Drosophila melanogaster: one gene and its partners. The protein of the gene in region 1 interacts with the protein of each later gene in a pairwise test. Each region holds a gene or a part of one and is shown in the gene's direction. Other genes may lie near its edges.

Region 1 (6,817 bases):
AGTACTGCAGTATAAGGCTATAAGGCCTTCTCGCTTGCGTGCACAGGTGCGGAAAAGAGATGGCACTTGCGTTTGAGAGAGCGCGCTCCTCCCTGCCCGTCACAAAAAAAACACAAGATGACGCGAGAGAGATAAAAACAGTTAAACAAACGATAAATTTGCTGGAAAATCAACTAAACAAATTTTCCAGGCCGCCGATTGGAACTAGTCTGTCAGTTGGCCCATTGATCAACTAGGATTTGCCGTGCAACATGATAGTCCAGATTTCAAGTCAACAACAACTGCCACGCAGACAGATTTTCTCCGACGCTTTGAAAGACCACGTAGCCGCTAAGCCGCATGAATCAGCGGGTGCGAGTGAGAGCGCGCTAGCGGCCGGCGCATTTCGCATTTTGATATTCGATTTTTGCCACATTTTGTTGAGATTTTCGTGCCTTATTTTCGATCTAAGCATGTACTTACAGAACTCGACCAGCACGAACTCGTTGTCGGCAATCAGCTGCTTGAAGTTGTCCACCGTCGCCACCAGAACACCCTCCTCAACTTTGACCTCCGCCTCGGCGGAAGCGGCCACGTAGGACGCCGCCAAGAAAAGTGCACAGATCAGGAATTTCATTGCGGGCACTCGTCGTCGTTTGATATTTATTGAATCTATTGCCCTATGTGGGTGCAGCACACTCGCCAACCAAAACTGGGATTCGAACTGCGCTGAACTTGCCCGGTTGCAAGTAGAAATTCAAATGAATTCAAGTGACAGTGAAACGCAGAGATATATACATATAAAGCTGAATTAGGTGAGGGATTTTTGGTATTTCTCTACAAGTTTCCGATAAATTTTACTAATATCGATATTTGTCAATGAATGAGCATTGAACTGTAGGTGGCGCTTGGGTGCCCAAAGGTTGGCAATCGTCGAAGGTAAATTTTTTTAGTTTAGGATCTCGTTTATATATTTGAAGTTTTATTTTTATATTTAACTAATTCAGTAATGTACTATTTTTTTTTTAAATATTACGGTTTTTTCGAATACCATAATTTTAAAATATTGTGATATAAATAGTATCGTATTGTATTGTATATAAGTTAACTTGTATTTAACATAAGGCAATTTGTAAAGGCCTTATAATTCTTCTTTTTAATTCATTTTTTTTATTAAATTTTATTTTAAATAACTTACGTCATTCTCTTTATGTCATTTACCCTTTTTAAAATAAAGACTGGTGTTGTGTAAACGCAAAAAAGACTGTGTAATTATTAATGCAGTTGTATTGCTTCTCTGTTTCATTGTAATAAAAAGTAAATATAAAATATTGTATCTTAAAAAGAATAAAACTCATTTCTTAAACAACTTAACAGCACACATGTAAATAATTCTTAAAAAGACAGATATTGGAAGAATATTTTGCGGAATTCAGGAGTCAAAAGCGACCACCTGTTGAATGCATTGTTCGACTATGCTAAAAAGTATTTCCGAAGTCTTAACACTACTAAATGGCCTATCTACAGGAGGTACATGGACAAACAGGCTTCGTTTTCTGTCCATATCGAGCGATTTCAGATAGATATAGCCGCAGAGAAAGTCACCCACATTTTTGGATGCCTTTGTGGCGCTCAGGGATTTGAGATTATCATTATGTGTCGGCTGTTGTGTGGGTCCCACACAATCGGCGCAATTCTCATTTACAACCGCCACAATCTTATCCACATCTAATTCGGTCTTCAAGACATTTGCATGTCCATTGTTGGGTAGTTCGCAAGTGCCGTTGGCCAGTTTTTTATCACAATTATCAGCTCGGCGGAACTTGTGATTGTACGCCAGCTTCTCGATGTATACACACTTGGCAACGCCCGAAACACCGACATGGATAACAAGCTGTTTTTTTTTTGTTTTTTATTTTTTTGGGAGAAAGATGATATCATAAGGCCTCTATCTATTTATGGTTCAATTGCGATGCTTACATATGGCTGGCGTTTCCAAATCTCCGCCACCGCCTCGTCCACAGCCCCGTATTCCACCGAAACCAACCGCTTTTCCAGATCATATTCTATGCCATCGTGAGTTAGGATTTCCGGCAGCAGTTTCACAGCTTCCCAGCTGGCGTTGACCGCTTCGTGACCGAGAAATGGACCAAATCCGGAGACTACAATGAGCTTTCGATCTGACGACGCCATAACAAACACCCCAACTAAACTAAACCCCCCACCAACAACAGAACTATCTTAAATACCATATGATTTCTATCTTCTTCTTCACCCTTTGAATCATGCGTTTCAAATGTTTGCGACGATGGCGGAACGGTGGAAATTGGAGCATATCGAAGTTTTTTATTTTTCGTCATTTATAGGTGAATTAACATTATTTTATATTTTCTATTTTTTTTTGAACCCACTTCGAAATAACGAAAAAATAAATAACTAAAAAGCATCCCCATTTTCAATAAAAATTTAAACAGTAACACCAAATATACTAAACGAAATGGTATTTTTCGGTATTCCCGAACCTCGCACTTTTGGGATTTTTCTTGAACGGAAACAGACGACGCAGTATGCGGCACCAAACAGAGAAATAACACATTTAGCGACAACAACAAAGGATAAATCCATTCCATACATTCCAGAGCTAGATCCGATCCAAAGGCCAGCAATCGACCCGATAAGGCGGCGCACCAGATCCGAGTTTCCGAGCAGGGGTATATAGGTGAGCACTACCTGGTAATCTAATCGCTGCGGATGAGTGGAGGACGCTCCTCTGTTGGCAGCGACGCCGGCAGCGCACCACCCTACGCACACAGGTGAACTTTGCACATTAACTATTTATTAACCTCGAACAGGTCGCCGGTGGAGCGGGAAAAAGTGGGATATCTGAACAGCAGTTGGCCTATTTCACACAGGAAGCGGATTCTAGTTGTCCATCCGGCAGAAGAGGCCTTTTCCAATCGTTAACATGCTGTCGCGCCTGCAGGACTTCTTGTCACGCCACCGGCGAAAGTTCATAGTGACCGGCGTTCTGGTGGGCGGTACCATCTTTGCGGCACGTTATGCACAACGGCGATTCGTGGAGTTCCAGGAGAAACAGGCCAGGGAATTCTTCGAGAGAACGCGGCGCACGACCCACTTTGAGTCGACGGAGAAGACGTGTAACCAGGTGATCCTAGGCATGGGCGAGGAGATGTGCCAAGCGGTTCTGAGGGAGTGCAGCACGGACGAGCTGCTCGAGCAGCTGCGCCAGAATCCCAAGAACAAGTTGGAACTTTGGGAGGACATGAAAATTGTGGCATTCACAAGACTGGCAACCTATGTCTACGCCTCCTCCATGCTGGTTATTGCGTTGAGGGTCCAGCTAAATCTTCTCGGTGGCTACATCTATCGGGACATCATGACGGAACAAAAACAAGTCACCGACGAGCTAAAGCAGCAGTATCTCTCCCTCATCCGACACTTTATCACGGATTCGGGCATCCGGGACTTAGCCCGTTACATTCGCACCCAGGTCATCGCAGTCACCAAGACCATACCGCTCTCCGAACAGCTTTCCCTTAGCGACCTGGAGCAACTGTTTTGGTCACTGCAAATGGCCATCAATGCGGACACTCGTCGGGATCCCAACTCGCGAATGAGCAAGTATCTGCTGCCCAGCCAGAATCCCAGTCATTCGCCGCTGCTGCAAAAGATGGTCAACGAGACGCTGGATCTGTTGGAGAGCGAGGATGCCGTTGGCGTGTGCTCGCACAATGTAAGCCGTGGTTTTGTGCTGGCCTGCGATGCCATCGCCGAAAGCATGGGCGAAACTTTGCAGCATCTGCCACAAGCTAAAGTCCAAACGCAGCAAGAACAGAGCGTCAAGTTTAACCAGGCAGGAAGCTTAGGCGCCAGCACCTCGAAGAGCCAAAACGGTCTGGAGAACAATAACTTGCTGAACATCAACCGAGTGCTGTTGGCGTTGGCAAAGCTCATTCCTATCATCAGTGGTCTCACCTCGAGAGGCTTCGATACCACTTCGCGACCCCACAATCTGCCCACCCAACTGCTAACCTTCTACGTGGTCGCCGAGAAGACAAAGACGCTGGGGGCCAACGTCTACGAAAGCTTTAGCTCCGCTTAGAGGATCAACAAAACTTGGATTATGCATCCGTGCATAGGCTAGGCTAAGACAATTGGAAAATTATAGTTTATATACTTGTATATTTTTAATAAGATCTGTATTCTCAGAAGCATTGTTTGTATGTCTGCTTGAACCCAACCCGTATTAGGTTTAGCTTCGTCCACGGGGAATCCTTTCAGGGCAGGGACACAAATCGAGTAACGTGAAGGCCTTTTAATCTAAATGGAAAGTTAGGAAATGCAACATATGAGAGAATCATATAGGATGGACCTGAGGGTAGTTTAGTATCCAAACTATATGAAAATGTAATTTAAAGTGTAATTGATTAATAGAATGATAAGTGACAGATTATTTATTTATACCATGCTAGAAAGCTTGGGTCTTAATCTTAAAGGAAGTGTAAACAAATGGCAACCTAATAAACTATGCATTCCCCGTATTTAAAGACTATTATTTTGCATATTAAAGTTTTTGAAGGAACTTATTCTTTTTATTCTTACAGCTAATTAAAACAGATATTGATTTATAGAATGATAAATTATACATGCGTACATAGGTGCATACTTGTATTGAATTAATAAGAAATAAATTCAATAATTATGTCGGAGATATACGAGATTCTTATATACTTTTTCCTCCAAGTTTCTAACAGTTTGCGGTTTTAAATGTACATAATATATTAATTTAGTAACGGAGCAACGGTTATCTGATAATCGGGGAACTCGACTATAGCATTCTCTCTTGTTATAAATGCTTAATATGTATAAAAATATAAGAATTGAATTATCGAAGACACAACCCACAAGTAACGGTTGTCTTTGCTATCAGTCAAAAGGGGGTGGCAGAAAACCGCCCTGTGATAAGACAGCTGTGTCTGTGGCTTTTGTTTGTTTGCCATTTCTCTTGTTCTTGCCGCTCTCTCCCTTGTTCACTCTCTTCAAGCACTTGCGCAGAAATGCCGCATGTGCGAAGATTCATTATAATATAACAATTATGAATAACTATCAAGCAGAAAGTAACTTAAAAGATTTCATAAATTGAACCAAGTTTATGCTTAAGGAGGTGAAAGTAATTAGATACATTTACATCACGCTCGCCCCTCTGCGACTTGTTCGCTCTCGCAGGACTCTCTCTTCACATCCGTCTCTCTTACTCCTTCGGGTGCCCAGCTGTCTGGTACAAAATTTCCATTTTGGGCGCAGTTGCAAAAGTTACGTGAAAAGGCAAAGGACAACAGTTACTTTTATACATCCCTGCGAGACTTTGCGTATGTGTTGGTGTAAAAAAAATAATTAAATATACAAAAATGAAAGAAATGCATTGAATAACTGATTCGAAGCCAAGTTAAAACCGAGTGTGCAAATATGAGAAATACTGCAAAAAGTACACAAATTGGAAAAGCCAGCTAAAGGAGGAAAGCCCACCGTCAAACAAACAAACAACAACAACGGCGGCTCAATTGTGTAAGTGCACTTGCAAAATGTTTATTAACCAGTCGATGGGGCTAAAAGCCCACTTAGCCCATCAACTTTTTACTAGCCGACCACAAAATATATTGATTAAGACAAAGAGAAAACTGAACATGAAAATCAAAAGGCCACATGAGCACATGTGAGCGAAAAAGACAGACACAGCGGTATATTGGTAACGGGACAGACAGTGCGTGCGTACAGTGGTGTGGGAGGGGGCTGCAAAGGCGGTGGTGTGGGGGAAAGGCAGTAACGGCAGTAACGGGAATACCACTCTTATAAGGTCTAAAAATATCAACACTTTATTATTAGCAGGGCCACAAGTGAGCAAACTAACTAATTGCGAAGAAACAATCAAATACTACTCAAAGGCAGCTCCTCGAAACGAGTGCTCAAGAAATAATGGTAAGGCACTACAAAGTACCCTTAAAAAAGTCATGACAGTATCGAATTTGGTATAGGCTTTAAATCTAAAAAATTTAATTAAATGAAATCAAAGGATCAAAAAGCTTTTTCAAAATCTTAAGGATCAAATAAAAGTTTTCCAACTGGCATAGGTTTTAATAAAGGTTAAAAGTATATATGCACATCTAATAAAATTAAAAAAGGTTCGAAAACGAATTACAATTTTTCTTATTTTTTATTTCTTGACAAATTTAATTGGCTTTCTTAATCCAATCACTTATGTCTATCCATCTTGAAAAATCAGAAAATACGCTATTCGTCGAAAAATGTTGAACAAATGCAGAAAGCATTAATAAGATTGGAAAAATTTTAAAGAAATAACCAATTTATATATATGTATGTATATATATTTCGGATTCAAACAAATATTGGGTATATCAAAGCATAGTACAGCAAATCATAACATGTCCTTCAACAAAGAGTATTAACTTGTAGCCAAGAAAGTCAAGTGCGTCAGCGTGAAGATAACAAAGAAATGACATTTTCCCCAGCCAAAGTCCGTGTGGGAAATTCGAGGAAAACAATGCATGCAAGTCAGGCAACCCCTGCACCCATCACCTTTTTACCACATTCCTCCCCTTTAGGGTGCTTGGGGTCCTATATTGCACAGTATATATAGGCATATTGACATACTAAGGGCGTAGATCAAGTGCCATGTGACAAGGGGCCACAGCACCTAACTAAATATAAACACATAAATTAAGGAAGCGAAAGCAGGACACGACTCAAGCTAAAGAAAAGTGCGTCATGGGTTTTCCGTGGAAGGCAATTACTTGGCATA
Region 2 (5,425 bases), on another chromosome or scaffold:
TCCATCGAACAAACTTTGGCCGACATCCAGGCCAAAAAGCGTCTGCGATTGGCTCAGCAGCAGGAGCTGGAGCAAGAGCAGCAAGCGCAAGAGGCAACCACATCCACAGAGGACCCATGAGTCGCCTGTGACCCAATTAGTATACAGATAGCTCACTTAATGCAAGACTGTCGCAACCAAAAAAAAGGATTATACTTCTTAAATCAGAATCAGAGAATCAGACATGACATGCTCGTCTTGTTCGCAAACTCCTGCTCGATAACATCGACAATATTTGACAAAACAGAGCAGTAATCATCTTCAGGGAGCCAAAGATTTTTAAATTTATAGTATTCATACTATGTTTTTGCCCACATTAATCGTATTTGGTAATAGGCTTGATACTAATTTTTATCTTAGGTTAGCCCCATTAAATTAAATGCCCTTTTTTTTTGAGTAATGACAGCCTTGTATCGAGTGAGATTAGTTTTGTTGATTCAGATTAGTCACATGAAAGGTCTCTGACTGCCATGTAAATCATAAGTAATAAGCAATTTCATTTGTTGGCCAATTAAGATCCGAAAGTTGTACATGTTTTAAGCAAGTTATGTGTCCGTAGCAGAGTCCGAATCGCAATATCTATTTATATAATAAAAACCTAAAAAAAAAAACGTCGCAAGGTTCAAAAAAATCTTAAAAACGGGGCGCCACTCAAAAATCACCAAAAAATACAGAATATTTCCATTCCAGTATTTTCTTGTTCGTCACTTCTTTCTTGTCACGGTGGTGAAGAAGCAGTCACAGTTTAATGCCAGCCGAAAGCCGCACCACGTGTTGCCCATTCCAAGAAAAATAAACTAAATTAGCACGATGGCTAATAGAAAACGCAACAAAATTTTGCTTAATACAATAGAGAAAGATATGTCAAATAGCTGAAAGTTATATGGTAACTAAAAGATGTGCGGATCACGAGAAACGAGCAATTCACTTTGACAGCCTGGCAGCTGTGACCCAAAGAGTCTCACTTTGAGACTTCTTGGGACCAACCAGCATGGGAAGTTTACGCGGTAAGAATAATACAGAAAGAAGATCTCCACAACCATGATGAAATCGTTAGATGGGGACAACTGATTACTGTGACTGATTCATCTCGATAGTAGATCTGATTTTAAAAATGTTGCTAGCCTACGTGCTTTCATGTTCAACAGCACTAAAATAACTCGTTCTTTTTATATAATGCAGAAAACTGATGTTTCTGACTGAAAACCGACGAAAGAATGGTTTCCACACTTGTAAGTATAATGATTGCTAAAGATTTATGATTTTTTTTTTTTTGTGATGAAATCGTTAGATAGGGACGTCTGATATCTGTGACTGATTTATCTCGATAGTAGATCTGATTTTAAAAATACTGTTAGCTTGCGTGATTTTATGTTCAACAACACTACAATAACTCTTTCTTTTTAGATAATGCAGAAAAACTGATGTTTCTGACTGAAAACCGACGAAAGAATGATTTCCACACTTGTAAGTATAATGATTGCTAAAGATTTATGATTTTTTTTTGTGATGAAATCGTTAGATAGGGACGTCTGATATCTGTGACTGATTTATCTCGATAGTAGATCTGATTTTTAAAATATTGTTAGCTTGCGTGATTTTATGTTCAACAACACTACAATAACTCTTTCTTTTTAGATAATGCTGAAACCCGAATTTCTCTGACAGAAACCCTACGTAAGAAGGATTTCCACACTTGTAAGTTTAAAGTGTTATGTGTACGTATATATAAATATGGGAGTATTTGAGGCCAAGTCTTAAGCTATTGTCTAGGAAACAAAATACCAAATACAAAAACGAAACTAAGGGTATTCTTTAAAACAACATGAATTTTGTTTGTATTTATTAAATCTATGAAAATGATCCGTAAACAAAAGTAAAGAAAAATAATTTTGCACATATTTTTTTTAGGAAATCTTTAGAACTGTCTGTAAAAATATATATTTAGAGTAACCCCTGAATAATGATTAAATACTTATGCATAATTTTTATTTATTTTACAGGGCTCCCTTGCATGATGCCAGAAAAGTGGACGTAAAAAATCTAATAAAATTATATTTATAGAAACAGAATGCAGCTTGCCATAGTTTTATTTTTTAAATATTTTTGAGAGACGGTTGGGAAAAGGGAGAAAAAATATTGATACATCGTGTAGGCTGGAATAACTAATTCAAAGTCACACCAATACTTTTTCCAAACCAGTTTTGCAATCTGCAGTAAAGTTTTTACAAATTGATCAAATCACTTTCGTTATAATGAGGTTTCGGTCGCTGAAGAACATATGGCCAAAAGAGAAGTTGGAGCAATTCCTATTTTTGTTCATTTTATGTGGCTTGCCCGCCATATACTATGTTCTAATGGAGATAATTCTGCCGGAGTTGTCGGATTATTGGTCACCTGGTTACGTATTTCAGCTGCTGCTGGGACTGTTCCTCTTTTCGAATGTGATGTCCAACTATGTCATGTGCATCCTGGTGGACCCCAGCATCGATCCCAAGCTTATGAAGAATCAGTTGGTGCGCGGACAGCACAGTGAGGACTGGCACGAGTGCGACAAGTGCGGGATTCTTGCTCCACCCCGGTCACGTCACTGCAGGAAGTGTGGCGTCTGTGTCCTGATGCGAGATCATCACTGCTTCTTTACTGGTTGCTGCATCGGTCATGAGAACTATAGATACTTTTTCTATTTTCTTATCTACTTTTTTCTAAGCTGCATGATTTCACTAACGTCATCTTCGATATTTATTTACGTTCTGCATGGGGGCAGATACCAGCTCTTTATGCTGACACATCCCGCACCGAACTCTGCCTATTTTAACTCGCTTATTATCAGGATAATCTACTTTAAGTTGCCCGATATATACGAGCTGGTGTTCACTCTGGTATTCGTCCTGCTGTGGATCGGGGTATGCGTAGCTACCTATGTGGCTTATGATCAGTGGTCTCGTGGCTATTTTTGCTATGATTTTGAACTTCAAAACATTCCTTTTGACCGAAAACTGCGCCGAAACTTCAAGACGTTCTTGGGCAGGCGAATGAAGTGGACCTGGATCTCCGGATTTGTTCCCAGCCAGCTGGACCACGACGGATTTGATCTGGATCCCGACAACGAACGTGTGGCAGATTGGTGCTCAGAAACAACCATCAAGGATGGCTAAATAATTTTATGCATTCTCTGTGTTTTCCAAATTACCGGTGCGATGAAAAATTAAAAATTCGAATTCATTTGATTAGTTCAGGCATGCAAGAAAGCTTTCCAAATTAAAAAGTTAAATATTTAAGGATGTGTTATTATGCGATATGTGTATGTTTCGTTTTATTTGGTCTCTACTGTGCTTGCTGATTTTCCCCAGGTTGGCAGTCTCGTCAGCTGTTTTCCTGATAACATTGACTTGCCGCAAAATGCTTGTTTGTTTAGTCTGAAATTGGCATCTGGTCAAGATCAACTGCCAGTAGGTAGAGACCACATATGGAGCCCACCAATTCGGAGTCGCGGCACCGCCTAAATGGAGGGGGCAGGAGTTCCGCGCCAGCAGGCTCCGGAGAGTACATCAAGGTGGTGGAGTCCCAATGCGAGACCGATGGATTCGTTAATGAACAGTGGACGGAACCGGCGATGCCAGGTCCAGTGCCTTGGAAGACCATTATTATCATTCTTTTGCTGTTTATCGGTGGCATTGTGAGTAGTGATTACTGGTGCCCACACATACATGCACAGTTCCTTCGAACTTCTGATCTGATGTCTTTGTCTTCAGGTTTGCATCGCCTTTGCCACCTTAAACTGGGTGACGGACACGAGCCGGGAGCGATCGGATCGGGTGTGGGCGTTGGGTATCATCGGGGCACTGACCTTCATCCCGGGAAGCTACTATGTGTACGTGCTCTTCTGCATAATGCTCAACCGCAACGGATTCACCATGGACGAGATACGAAGACTCGGCTGAAAAGGAGAAACCAAAGACACCAAATGTTTCGTCAAATAGAGTTTATTGCTTTTACACTACAGTTATTCACACATTTCATTGGCATAATTTCTTTAGCAACAATCTTAATATGTAGTTCATTATGATACATGTGTATTGCCCCGGTAATTGTATAAAAATATTTTTTAAACACGAGCTTCGTTATCAAAATGTATAATGCTTGGCGTGGCTTCTAGTGCGCGGAACATTGGCTATCTATTTAAATAGCGCATCGCTTGCTTAAATATGTATATGTTTTACAGGCATGAACTATAGGTTATATGATTTATGTTATGGCCATTTTCTCTATCAAGCTTGGGGCACAGTATAACTTTGTGTTTCAGCTTAATTATATACAGTGTTATGCGTTACATGTTGTATCTATGTAGGTAAGAATTCTTTACAAACAATTGCTTTTCGTGTTTACGGATATAACAGGGCGCGTGGGAATCAAATACTTTAACAAGAGTAGGGGATTAGTATGGGGTGTATACACAATACATACACAAACATTGTAACGAAATTAAACTAGCGACAGGTAACATTTCACTGCTCCACGACGGTCACCTCGATGGGCGGAATGAACTTCCACACATGCGCCTGCTGCTCATCGTAGCTGGAGGAGAACATGACCGATTGGCCGACACTCTCCGCTTCTGCCGGACAGGAGCGGGTTAGCAATGACGACGGCTGCTCCGACTGCTTCTGCGGATTGCTGGTGCATTCGATGCTGGCCTTGAAACGTCCGGGGGTAAAGAATATCACAGAGCAAGTATGCTCTTTCTGCTCCTGCTTCTCCAGTAGTGGTATTGCAATTCTAAGAGGGTTGATATTGTCTAAATATTTAACTGCTTCGTTTCAATATTTTTCTTCAGCTCTCACCTATTTGGTCCTGAAATGGCCACGCGTGTCTCCAAATTGTAATTTTCCATTCCGTTCAGGTAATCCTGATAGAACTTAATGCTCAGCACCAGATTTCTAAGTGGTTGCAGGGATTGATTGGCCAGCTGGATGCTTAGCAGCGACCGCTGTCCCACCGTGCATACAATCTCATTGTGTGGCTGCACGAGCGTGTCTTGAAAGCTGATAGCTAAAGGTGTAATACAATTGTCATTACAAAGTCGGTAAGGAAGATTCTAAACAAACACACCCCACTCCAAAGGCGACACAGCTGTCAAATCCACCATAGACTGGGAGAGAACTATTCCTCGCAGTGAGGCGATTCCCTGAATGTCCGTCCCCGTTAACAGCCACTTGATTTTCACCCTTTCAGCTATATGAATTGAGCAGAGCTTACTCAGAGCATCGTTAAACGACAGCAGCTGCGTCCGGAAGCAGAGTTCTAGTAAAAAGATAAGCACAAATAGTGAATGAGCTCATATTAAGCGGGATTCATCATACCCCTCTCCAGATTCTCAGCTACC
Region 3 (7,226 bases), on another chromosome or scaffold:
TTCTTCCTGTCGTGCAGCAACAGCAGGACCTGGCTGATACTGCTGCCCCTTTGGTCGCTTCTACAGGGATTTCGGAGCAGGATCGCCTCGCCACGAGCACTTGCCTATCACGCCTATCTTCCAAAGTCAGTCAGGACTCTACGAAACAACAACGAAAGCTCTATCAACACGGCGAAGCCACAAAGGACTACGCTGCTGCGGCTTCAACGACTCCGGCAGTCGGCATCCTTACGGATATGCAAAAGTTTGCACGCTCTATATTTCCGCTGGTTATCATCTTCAATCTGCTGCCTTTATTCTATGCAGGTGAGTACTTTTTATTTACTAGATTCGTTGCAAAGTATTTAACAAGTACATGATGTACCTCATGTTTAATTGTTAAAAATATGGGTTTACTATTAACAGCTGAAGAAGTTTTTCGTCTTCATGAATTTTATGAATTTATTTGAATCCGGACTTATAGTATCTAAATGTAGCCACATCAAACTTTAATGGTTTAGCATGGCACTTTTCCCTTTAAACTTCTGTGAAAGTTGCTGCTGCCCTCCATAGTCCTGCTAAAAAATGTGTAACTCTCAACCAACTCATGTAAAACAATTTTCCTACGTCCTAATTGGCAAGTCTCGAGTGTCCACTAGCTGGCTTTTAGCCTGCCAGTTTTAAAGACCCCACTGAGTGCTCACTGTAGTCGTCGGCTGGGCTGGTAAATAAATAATTGAAACTGTCGAAGAACATTTGCAAATCTGGCCAAACAACAACTGAGCTCATTATTTATGTACGCAGCCAAATATGTATCGACTGCCAAAGGCAATGGAAAAAAATTTAATGACCGGCAAAAGTGAGCGTCCCCCGGCAGGAAGGAAGCAATCCGCTCCGGCACCCCAGTCCCTGCCCCTTTCGGATCTGAGTTATCTCTTTTTCATTTTCGGTTTTTCAAACTCTTTGTGTGACAGTTTTTATATATATATATTTATTTTTTTCTACATTTGAGGGGCTGGTCATTTTTCAGAGCACGCACAAAGGCAAATTTATAACAAAGTTGGGGTCAAACGGGGCTGAGGCCGAGAAGACAATGCGCTAGGCGGTCTTAATTGCTTCCCGGCCGCAAAAACAATAACAGCATATTTCTGGAAGAACCCTTTTCGAGGTCTTTGTTGCTGCCTTGGCAAACTTATTAATTAAACGCGCTCATAATTATTTAAGACCGGCTGCCGCCGGAGCAAATTCAATCTGTGATCATTGCCCCCGATAGGCAGAGCTGCAGTAATCAGAGTTAGAGGAGCAGAATCCCCCCCCTGCTCAGCTGCCTAATGTGGCAGAAGCGAAGGCAAACAAAAGCGGTGCCATTTCAAAAGAAATCAATGACAATTCGTTAAAGTTCCTCCCCGGGGTAACCGCTCTCCAATTTTCCAACCCATCCCACAGAACACTTCCCAGGACATCATCGACATTTGAGCAGCGATTAAAGACAATTGAAGCCGCAGATGCAGAGGCAGCATAAGTCTGCTGCTTTCTTATCAGTTGGCAGAGCTCTCTGGCTTTTCCACTCTCTCCATCGTTATCTCTCTCTTGTGGAAAAGCTCGCGCCTGCGCTGCCAGGCCAACGGTGTTATCATTTGCCAAGAGATTGGCGCTTATCAGTTGGCCAGTGAATGTTTGCTGGGTTATCCCGCCATTGTTTGGCCCAAATAAATCGCTGACTTGGCATGCCGGACGGAGCAGGGAAAGTCAAAGACGCCAGTGCCCCAGGCACAGGTCAAAGTATCTGCGATTCGATGCCTCGGACGAAGAGCAAGAAAAAAAAACAAAAGAACACACTGCCATTTATCTTGGGCGACGTTTTTGCCCTAATGAGATTTGCGCCAAATTAAATGAAATCGAAAATTAGGTGCGCCAAGCTCGTTGGCAATTTAAATTGAAGGCGGCAATTATCCGCACAAACGGCCAAGTCGGACCAAAACGGGAGGAGCATAATGAGCAGAAGCCGAAGTTAAACAAGATTCTCACCTGTCAGCTTTGGCACCACCTGATGGCCTGGCACCTGGAAACCTTCGGGTTTCACCTGAAATCTGCCACCTGCCAGCTGTCTCGAGTGGCGGCTTTGGTTTTGGCTTTGGATGGGCGATTAAAGCGCTCGTCGGCCACTCGAACAAACAGAATCGACGGCTCATTGAGCCGCAGCCAAATGAAATCCGGTGGCAAACAACTTGAAGGATCCACTCGAGAAGGAGGCGGAGGAGGAGGAGGCTGCGCCAAGGAGTCCTGGGGTCCTGAAGTAGAAAAAAGAAGTGCACAAAAACGAAATCATAGATTCAATTTGATTTATTTCGCTGCCGTACTATATTGGCGTTGGACTAACAGCCGTCTCTCGATTCAAATGGCAGAGCTTTCACTTGATGTCATCGCGGCGTGCTCTCTCGCTTTTCCTCCGAATTTTCCTCGCATTTTCCGACTTCACTCTCTGCCTTAAATGCCGTGGCAGCAGCCGAGCGTAGTCAGTCGATTTCAGTCGGCCGTGCGGCACACACACTCGCAACGCGCTTTTCAGCCAGCTCAATTCAGCTCCGGATTCCGCTTGCCACCAGCTTTTGAACGCGTCATTAATCGCATCGTGTGACAGGAGCCTCGAATCAGTTTTCCCAGCAACGCGCGCACTTTTCCCGCTTTTGACCACCGATTAAGGTCTCTTGTTCTTTCCGCCTTATCGCTTCGTCCTGTGCGTTTGCATTTTAATGTTTGCTTAAGCATTCCGTTTCGGTGTCAAAATCCAAAATCCAAAATCCGGCCAAACCAATCCCGGCGATAAGAAAAACCCTGGCCTGGCAAACGGAGAGCTCAACGCGGAATTGTTCGACACAAAAGTGAATTACAAATCAATTGAGAAAGCCCTCGGCAGCGAGACGTAAATATTCAAATGGAAACCGAATTACATATTCTTTTGAAATTGCCTTGGCTATGGTGCACAATTGAGATATTCGGCATTTATAAGATTGTGGAGTGGGCTATTTATGGTGATCAATCGGGGCAAAAGGCTGGGAGGTATTTTGCAGAATCACTTGGTAGGATTAAAGACATTTAAACATCATACTCGCTTAAAATTAAACAATGATGTTTGAAAGTCAGCAAAACCACTGCAATATTTAAGTTATGCCTCTTTTGTGCGCGTATACAATTTTAAATGCAAATGTTTTTTGGCAAACAATTCCAAATAAGAATACCTTAATCATTTATCACGAATGAAATTATTAAATGGAATTCACTTGTATAACAACTAAAATGAAAGTCACTCCGTGCTGTGTATTGAATTATTTATTGCCACACTTACAATGCTGCATTTCCATTTAATATCAACCTATGACACCTATTCCTTTGACCAAACGAGAATGGCCATGTAAATTGATTCTTGGAATCGGTCCACATGCCCATACGATTCACCAAAAAAAAAAAAAAAAATGCTCATTTCAGCAAAATTGGGTTTTATTTGCATTGAGCGAATGTTCCTTCGGATGAGTTCACGTTCAAGCTAACTCGCCATTTTCAAAAGCAAACATACAAATGCGTTATTAGTTCACATGCACAATGGCCATACATTCCTAATCGGTAACCCTGGCTGCTTTTTCTTGGAACGTCCTTAAACAGGAGAGGGCAATCTGGGCAACGAAAGGTTACAAAACGAACTGGAGGCAGACAATTGTTGGGGGATTTACAACATGGCCCTCGTATTGTTTGCAATGCAGCAATAAGTCTGGATAAATGCGGAAAAGACAGAAGAAAAAGGGACGATGGTGATGGCGATGGAAATGTGTCCACGGCAGTTATGACAACTTCTGCTGGGTCTCACCTGTTTCACCTGTTCGCCAGCTGCTTAATTGGAGTCACAGCCAAAGTCCGGGCGAACTTTCCGATTTCCGTTCCTGCAACGCGTGCCACTGACAAGTGACAGCTTCGATTTGAGGCAGGAGTAAACGCATTGCTCATCTTCCAATTCATTTTTTAGATCTGAATATACTCTTGTTTGATCCGAAAAAAAAGGGAAATGATCTGCGAAATAAAATTGTAGTTTTACTAGCAGAAGACGTGTTTTTCCGTTTACACTTTCAGCAAAAGATTAATTGAATTGAATGCAATATTTTTCAAGAGATTTATACTTTGATTTTCAACGAAACGATTTTGTTTAAAAATCGTTATTTTCGTTCACGCTTATTATAAACATGCTAATAACGGCAACCAATTATTCTAACCAATACTCAATATATTTGTAAACATTTTGTAAATTACTTTCCTTTTTAAATTCCGCTCACGTTTCACTATAAGCGATGGTTTATAGTCAGCCTGCCTACCTGAAATTGCAGCTTATTTAATAATTACTCACGAAAATCATTTTCGTAATTGACTATTTCTCACTCCGATGTCTATCCATACAGTCGATCATCAGATGAAAGTGCTTTCCCAGTTTCTTTGCCATATGCAAAGTAGTAAACGTACAAAAAAAAAGTGGGATTCAGTTGCAATTTGCATGCAGTTCGGCAATCGCTGCGAAATTGAAACGTGCCAAATGTGCAAACAGAGGGCCGCAATCGTTTTCCACCTTGTTTGGATAGCCAACCAGGTGATAAGCAAACATAACCCAAAGGGACTCCCGTGAAAAGTCGACTTGCGGGGTTGGCTGGGTTTTAAACTCAACCCTTTTTTCTTTTTCTTCGGCTAAGGTGGGCGGCACTGCCACTAAATCAGGCTACTTCCACCAGGTAATAGAGAGATACAATTTGCTACGTGTGGAAAATGCGAAGAAAGAAGAGACGAGTAACTTTGCAAATAATGTTACCCAGCCACTCGAATGTTTAGGAACCTTTACGCATAAATTATTTATTCATTTGCCGTCGCCGGGTTTTTATATGCATCGTTAAAATTTCTGTTTGGAATCTCAAAGTGAATTTTCGGGTCCGGAGCGAGCACCTTTGACCCGCCCCCCCCCAAAAAAAAAAAAACGGAAATAGGGTTTTTTACGTTGGCTATTTTATAATGAGCTGCACTGGATTCGCTTTCACAGTGCTAACCCGTTGCTCATATGGTTTTCCTTTGCGCCTTTGGTTCCTTGTTCAATTTTCACTTTTGCAAGCGATTTTCCCGACGGCTGCTCACGAGAAAAGCTACGTGCAAAACGGCTTTGAGTGGAGGGTGTGGTCTCCACTTTCGCAGCGAAAGTGTTTATTTATTTCAGTTTGTGTGCTAGAAATAAGTTTTATTTCCGTTTTTTTTACCATTCCGAACCAAAATTATAATAATAACCTGCGGCTGCGGGCCAACGTTGCGTATGAGCGATGTTTTTTCAAACCATATTCCCATTGAAAACGCCGACTCGAAACTAATTAGCGCCCTGTACGCCGAGTTCTTGTTGTTTTGAAGGCTTTCCGCAGCAGCATTGGCTTTTGCCAGTAGAAAGTAGCCAGCGTGTCCACGTCATGTGATATGAGCTGGGAAAATATTGTTAAAAATATGCTGCAACTTTTTCATTACATCAACTTGACGGCTGCGAAGTGAAAACTTTTTAGCAACCAGCAGGAGCAGGCGGAAAAGCGTGGAAAAAGGGGAAAGGCAAGCGGCTTTGCCAGCTGTGGATGCTGTTTCTTTAATTTGTATTTAGTTAGCGGACGATGCTAATGAGTTTGCTGATTAAAGAAGGGATCGTCTTTTGATGTGCCACCTCTGGAATGAAATTTGCACAAGGCTTACCAGCTTTAAGACCTTGTTAACTGGCGAAAAAACAAAAGACATAAATTATTTGGCATGCGATCAAAACCACACTCGCAACCTTTTAGCTGGCATCTCCTGCGTGAAAAAGCTAATACAAACTGGCTGAGCCAATCAATTACGAGTAGTTCCCAAAGTTCAAGTCATTCTCACTTAGCTACAGCCAGTCTATCAATCTTCTAATCAATCTGAACGGAGCAAATAGCCAGCTAAAGTTTCGTCCTTAGCATTATGAATTTATGGACCGTTGGGCAGTCGAGTGAAAACTATGCCGATTTCAATAAAAATCATTAACCGAGCGAGCACTCAAAGGCCGATTTCGATTGAGTTTCTGTGCGGGTGGGCAGAACTTTCCGACACATTAAATATGAATGAAATGCCACGGTAATTAAGCCTAAACACAGAAAGATAAACAAACCGCGAATGGTCGTAAAATGCGATGAGGTGGCGCCAATCGAAATGAACTTCTTTGACCAAACACATTTCCAATCGAATTATAAATAAACAGAGGCTGCCACAATGAAATAAGCGCCGACAGGAAGCCAATTCAAATAGCCCCAGTCAGCCACTGTTTTTCGCCAAATACCTTATTTCCAAATTCCAAATGGAATTGGCATATAGCGAAGGCCTTGGGCCTTATGGCTGATTAGCCAATTTGAATTTTCAATATTTCCCGGAATCTAAACTTCTGTTTGGTAAACGCGTAATATGCCAGCGTTGTTCTGCTTACAAATTCCCATTGTTTCCGCATCCGAAGAAAATGAATTCACTTAGCCAGAAAGATGTGGCTTAAGGCGAGAATTTCATTAATCTTTGTCGCGCGTTCCTTGGCATATTAAAATATCTCTTTTGTGATACGTGAATGCATAAAATGGCAGACAAACGAGAGTGAAGCATCTTTGTGTAAGCTTTAAAAATCTCCCCCATAAAAGCCAACGTGAAACATGCAACAAGCTGGGTCAGGAAGCGGGCCAAAAGAAGGCCACCACCACCCATCAGCTACTGTGTCGAGGCTATACCCACACACTTCCACTGACACACACACACACACACACACTAACAGGCACACATACACACGCCTGCATACGAGTATAAGCCCCATTCATGTGGGTTACAATGAGGGCCAGACGCTTGTCCAAGGAACTAAGACAAAGGATACACAGAAATCAAGTTTAACTGCAGTTGAAGGCGGAAACGTGAGCCTCACACGTACACTGAAAGAAACCGCAAGAAAACATTGCAAATATCATTATTACCTAACTTGTTTGCATACTTGCGAATAATTTTATCGAAATGCTAAAGAGCTTTGTTGGTAGTAAGGAAATTGTTCTAAAGGGTATATTTATATGGACTTTATTGAGCTCAAAATCATACATTTATTTCGCAATGATTTACACTATTTAAATCATTTTTCTTTTCTTTGAATATTATTTGCTTAAATAAAACATGACACCATCAAAACCAATTTGAACATG
Region 4 (5,559 bases), on another chromosome or scaffold:
CATTTCTGATTCGCTGCTGCGGCTCACATTTTTTTTTTTTTTTTTTGGGTCTTGATTTCTGATTTCTGACTCGATGATCGGCCTCCAAAAAGTGCGTGCGGTGGTGTGTTGTCATTGTCGTGTAGCCGGCAATTAAAATTGGTCCCCTTCCGCTGGCCACCGCACCTCGCAAACCCCCTTGAACCATCAACGAGACCCACATGGAAGCAACTCGAAAAGCGCCCAAGAAATTGGCCAGGGCAGCTGTTAAATAATTTATGAAGTGCGTAGGGTTTCTGGCGCGCATTTCAAGCAGCTCGAGAGCCCCAAACGCAACTCATTTCATTTATTTCACTTCCAAAAACTCCGGCCAAATATTTGCGCATCGCTCACGCACTTTTTTTTTTTTGTGGACTGCCGCGATCAATTTGGTCGAGGCGTCTCCTTTGCAGATACTCTAATTAAAAGGAGTATCTGTGTTGCGACGATTACAAACTCGTAGAATTCTTGGCAATTTACAAATTATACCTACGAATTTTCACTAGTCTTTGTGAATGTTGAAGATTATATTGCCCAACTGTTAAGGCAATTAGATCATTATTATGTAATGATAATGACACAAAAAGAAGAGTATTTACTACTCGACTTCACTATTCATTTGCATTTGTCGATTTTTTGTTTGGCCCGTTTCAATTTTGTATGGTTTTGTTAGCCGGAAAATATTTGGCCACGCAGGTTTTTTTCTGTTTTTTTTTTTTCTTTTTTGTCTTCGGTGCGTTCCTCATTAAACATTTTGGCCAAAAATCCACTTGCGATCTGCATGCAAATGCCGCTGATTAGCCGGGGCGCCGAGTTGGCCATAAATCAATAGGCCTTTGCGCCTTGGCTGCCACACGAGCCACAAAAAGTCCGCAAGTGAAAAGTAAACTGGCCCAGAACGGAACCCAAAAAGTCGGGCTCAAAGCCAGCTGCAATCTGCGGAGAGCGTCTTTGCGATGGTCTGGCCTGCTTATGGTACGGTCTATTCCCCGCCAGATCCGGATCACGAATGTTCGCTCAACCTTGGCGTACAGTCAGGAAAGTCCGTCGAGGGTCGAGGGTTGTCTCTGCACTGCTAGAAAAAACGGGACTCTAATTTCCCAACATTGAGCAGTATTCATACGTACAGTCAGGAAAGTCCGTCGAGGGTCGAGGGTTGTCTCTGCACTGCTAGAAAAAACGGGACTCTAATTTCCCAACATTGAGCAGTATTCGTAACGAAGGGAAAATGTCAAAAGGCAAAAAAGCAGATTTAAAAGGCCCTATACAACACTGCATACTTTACTCGAATGTAACTGTTTTTTTTTTTTGCTCAGTGTGGCCAGGGGAAGTGTTAAGCTTGCCACAGAAAGTGGAAAAAAGAGCCTGATTAATTATGAATTGAGTGTCTGAGCCGAGTTGCCTGCACTTGCACTTCTGGCTTTTTTTTTCGTATTTTCATATTTCACTTGTTGCACTTGCGGCACTTTTTATATTTTTACGCTTGCAGAGCTCGCCTGCAGACTTCATACTGGTCATATGTATATATATATATATATGTATATATTGTCTGTGCGAACAGAGGTGGGGGCCCAAAAAGGGGCGTAGCCGGGGTCAGCGGCGAGTTTTGCAAAGGGGGAGGCACTCGAGCAACAACTTTCGTCACGCCACTCAGTGTAGTTGAAATGAGGAGCGGTTCAGCGAATCGGGCTACCGATATCTTCAAAACTATATATACTTTATATTCTCAAGCGTTATGATTGTGAGAATTTTATGATCAAATCAATAGAAATAGAATAGAAGTAAAACAAGTAAAGTTGATAATTGCAATTGAACAAACAAAATGATTGCTCTTTACAGATAGAACTTGCAACTTGGCCCCTGATCCGCTCCTGGCTCGGCTGTTGCACTTGCCACTTCACTTGCAACATGCACTAATGCTCAACGGCACGTCCCAGTGTCTTTATCATATAAACGGTGCGATTTAAATTAATAATTAAAGCGAGCTTGTGGTTGTGGTCCCCGGTCCGTTTTCAATCGTCTGGGGCCCTAAGTCTTTGGACTTTGGGCCCGGAGTCACGAGACTTTGAGCCATCTGCCGCCGGCAGGTGGATTGCAGGTGGATGCGAGCGGATTAAGCTGCCCACCCTTGATGCCATAAATCAACGGGGACATTGGGCTAGGTGCTCGCTGCTCTGTGCTCAGCCAGATGAGAAGTTGACCGGTCTGGTTCATCGCATCCCAGCGAGCCCATTGAAGACGAGCGAGCAAGAGCTCCGACTAGACCATATATTTATGTATGTACTTATCATACTGACATCTTAGGCGATCTAGCCATTATAGCTTATGACTTCAAGCTGATTCTTAAGTTTTTAGCAGGCTGTTAGGTTAGCTTTGCCACTTCTGTCAAATGGGCTAAAAGCGAGTTGACTAGCTCAAAATTTTTCGTTCGTTTCGTCGCTCTCGAAAATCGAAAATCGAAAATCAGAGGGGACAAACTATGTCAGAAGGGTCAGTTGAAGAGTAACAGATTTGAACGCACTAATTGAATTGAAAACTAGTTATGCTGGTCATGGACGCATTGTTTAACAGCCTATTGGTGGTCAGTTCCGGCTATGCGATCTACACTCTCCATCCAATGGAAACACCCTATGGCTATGCAACAGCGGCCTTGAGCCTGGTCCATGGAATTTTGGGAATGGTGCGAGCGGCGAGCAACGACGATGACGAATGCAATCGGGTGCGATTGATTACGTCGGGCATCATGGAGATAGTACCGCTGCCCCTGACCAATATGGAGCTGTATCTGAAGTCCACCAATCCGGGCTTGGCTTTGGCGCACACATGTTTTGTGGTGCCATTAGTCTACGATATGTTGGCCAAAGTGGTTGACACCGAGGATACCGTAACGGAGACCCTTAAGGAACTAACACTGTTGGGCAACGTTGTGTCCATGCTCTTTTTGGGCGTCAACGAGTCGAATAATATGTACGGCATCTTGGCTGCCATCGCTTTTGGTGCTCGATACGGTTCCGCTTTTCTCGACTACTACTGGAAGGGATTAGGTGCCGAATTCACCCTACTGGCCCACTCCATGTTTGTCCTACTGATGACGATGACCCTTTCGGCGAAATGAAGACCAATAGACCTCCCAGAATATAACCTATCCGCATTCAAGGCCAGCGGTTAGGTTCGTTGGCTTTCAGCTCAATAAACTTGCAATTAATGTTGGCAAATTAAAATGCAAAAATAAACATTAATTGTTTTGTCACATTCGCAGCACGACCAAAAAACTTAAGTGTCTACATCTCTCTTTTGTCTGCCCCTTTTTGTCGCCAGCGCCAGCACACGATCTCCATCATCCAAAGATCCAGAGAGATCCAGCTGTGGATAACATTTTAGCTTCAATTTACAACGTCAGCGGCGAGCGCCAAATGAGCCAAATGAGCTGATCCCCATTCAAAACCAAAAAAAAAAAAATGAAAAAACAAGGCTTGAGTTAAGATGGACGTGCTCTTAATATATACACTTAAATACCAAGATGCATGATCATAAATGGATTTTGTTCTTCCAGCAAAAATCAAAAATTCATTTAAAATAATATCCCAACCAGTTGATAAGAACCGGGAAATACATATGTCTGTATTTCCGGGAGCGAGTCAAGGACATGACCAAATAAATGTGGCCTACTTTTGGGAGCCGGGACGCGTCAATCTCGTAGGCTAAATGCTAAAATACCGGGGCCATTAAAACCAAACAACAAAAAACAGCGGAAAAGAGCTGCGAACTCGGCGAATGGTTAATAATTTATGCATTTTAATTAATTGCCAGTTGCGGGACCCCGTTGCCAGGTTTTTATGATGGCTCTGAGCGTTCGGAGATCGGAGATCGGTTATATACCCCCCCTTTGGCGCTAATCATGTCGTCATTTGCATTTCAAGGGACTAGCTGTATTCAACAGACATCCATTTTTACAAAAATGCAACAAAAAAAACCAATCACAAAATTCGCACAAATTCAATAAGAACATAGAAGCCAAGAATATTATTGCATCGAGACGAATATTGTACACCGAATGTGACTGCGCAAGTTCAAAAACCTGCAGAGCGAGTGACTCAGTCGGTTAAAAAAGCCGGCCGGCATTGGCGAATGTCTCCTCTTATTTTTCTCATTTTATTTTTGCCGGCAGCTTTTGCGTAGTTGTATTGGCGTGTTTATTAAAAAAAAAAAAAGAAAAGAAAAAGGCAAAAATACGTTAAGCAAAAACAAAAAAAAAAAAAAAAACGATGCATGCAAAATGAATGCGGACATTGGAGAGACGGAAAGAGTGCGAATGCGAAATACAGCTAATGAATGCGAAATGGAACACAGAGGCCACAAAATGAAATGGCCCAGAGATACGCACCAGACATACCCTCGAAGATAAAGTTTTTTTTTTTTTGTAAACAGTGTACCAAAGATGCTAGCCAGAAATGAGCAGTAGAATTGGAATGTCCTCAAATTGCAATCCCAAAAGTTAAAGTTAATACTCAGAGCATGTTATGATACCAAAATCCAAATGAGCGTAAATTGAATATGCCTACTTGCCGCCACATGTATCTTTAATGAATGCGCCAGCCAATGTGTTCAAAAAGAAACGGTCAACGGTGCGGGTCGACGCCAACGCCACCGACATCTTTCGTTATGTATGTATGTACCATACATATCGCCCTATATATATACATATATATATATATATATATATATATATATATATATATATATATACGCACTCGATCCGTATCTGCATCTTTATCCGTATGCATGTGCTTTGGGCGACGGCGCGAAATTCAAAAAAAGCTGCGCTTGCGCATTTTTTGTTTGACGTGATTTGTTTACGAATCTTAACAAACTGTGTACACAAAATGATTTAAATTACCACGAAAGGCGTCGCCGTTCAAATATTGTGCGTACACAAAAAAAAAAAACAAAAAAAACGCGGCTCAGAAATCACAGCTCTATTTGCACTGGCAAAATCAATATCATTGCGAAATGATTTGGCAGCTGCATTGAGCGAAAGTGATCTGAATTTTAGAAAACTTCAATTACAGTATATAATGCAGTAGTAGGGGATTTGCCCAATAACGAAAACATTTTATTGCATCTTTTCAAATCCAGCGTAGTAGCAATATTTTCTCGCTGTGCTAAAAAAAACCCGTTACAGCCGAAGTGACTCAAACTCAGACACATTCATTTCAGATACTACGATGGCGTGGGAGAGAGCAAAAAAAAAACTAGACCTGCATTCGTATGAATGATGTGAACGACATAATATACTACTACACTATATACATACATATATACCCGAGTGAATCACTCGATTCGCAGAACTACCGACGAATGCAGCTAAATTGATTGTCCGATCACGACGATGCCGACAAGCCGGCAATTGCAAGTGGAATGGGGCAACCATACTGTGGATATATATACGCACGATATATACTTTAGATGGTTTTGTGAATTGTGAATGGAATGGCAATGCAGCGAATGATGTGGGTCAACTAACTTGACCGATTCGATGAT

What was found.
Region 2: the proteins of Pex3 (region 1) and CG2611 interact in a two-hybrid assay, tested with the Drosophila melanogaster proteins (one large-scale study listed by BioGRID).
Region 3: the proteins of Pex3 (region 1) and CG43732 interact in a two-hybrid assay, tested with the Drosophila melanogaster proteins (one large-scale study listed by BioGRID).
Region 4: the proteins of Pex3 (region 1) and CG14269 interact in a two-hybrid assay, tested with the Drosophila melanogaster proteins (one large-scale study listed by BioGRID).

What each region holds. Positions count from the first base shown.
Region 1 is NT_037436.4:15,141,838-15,148,654, forward strand, and holds Pex3 (peroxin 3), read left to right. Parts: upstream 1-2,517; 5' UTR 2,518-2,712; intron 2,713-2,831; 5' UTR 2,832-2,944; coding exon 2,945-4,102; 3' UTR 4,103-4,542; downstream 4,543-6,817. Other genes in the region: Pdi (protein disulfide isomerase), read right to left, coding at 463-616; CG32147 (uncharacterized protein), read right to left, coding at 1,412-1,873, 1,960-2,172.
Region 2 is NT_033779.5:20,646,743-20,652,167, forward strand, and holds CG2611 (uncharacterized protein), read left to right. Parts: upstream 1-3,446; 5' UTR 3,447-3,508; coding exon 3,509-3,718; intron 3,719-3,794; coding exon 3,795-3,983; 3' UTR 3,984-4,156; downstream 4,157-5,425. Other genes in the region: CG2608 (uncharacterized protein), read left to right, coding at 1-120; CG18810 (uncharacterized protein), read left to right, coding at 2,295-3,197; brun (brunelleschi), read right to left, coding at 4,548-4,818, 4,884-5,091, 5,152-5,343, 5,403-5,425.
Region 3 is NT_033777.3:18,947,702-18,954,927, forward strand, and holds the start of CG43732 (uncharacterized protein), read left to right. Parts: upstream 1-2,494; 5' UTR 2,495-2,902; intron 2,903-7,226. Other genes in the region: CG42613 (uncharacterized protein), read left to right, coding at 1-306.
Region 4 is NC_004354.4:3,432,662-3,438,220, reverse strand, and holds CG14269 (uncharacterized protein), read left to right. Parts: upstream 1-2,413; 5' UTR 2,414-2,508; exon of another isoform or gene 2,509-2,558; 5' UTR 2,559-2,560; coding exon 2,561-3,133; 3' UTR 3,134-3,278; downstream 3,279-5,559.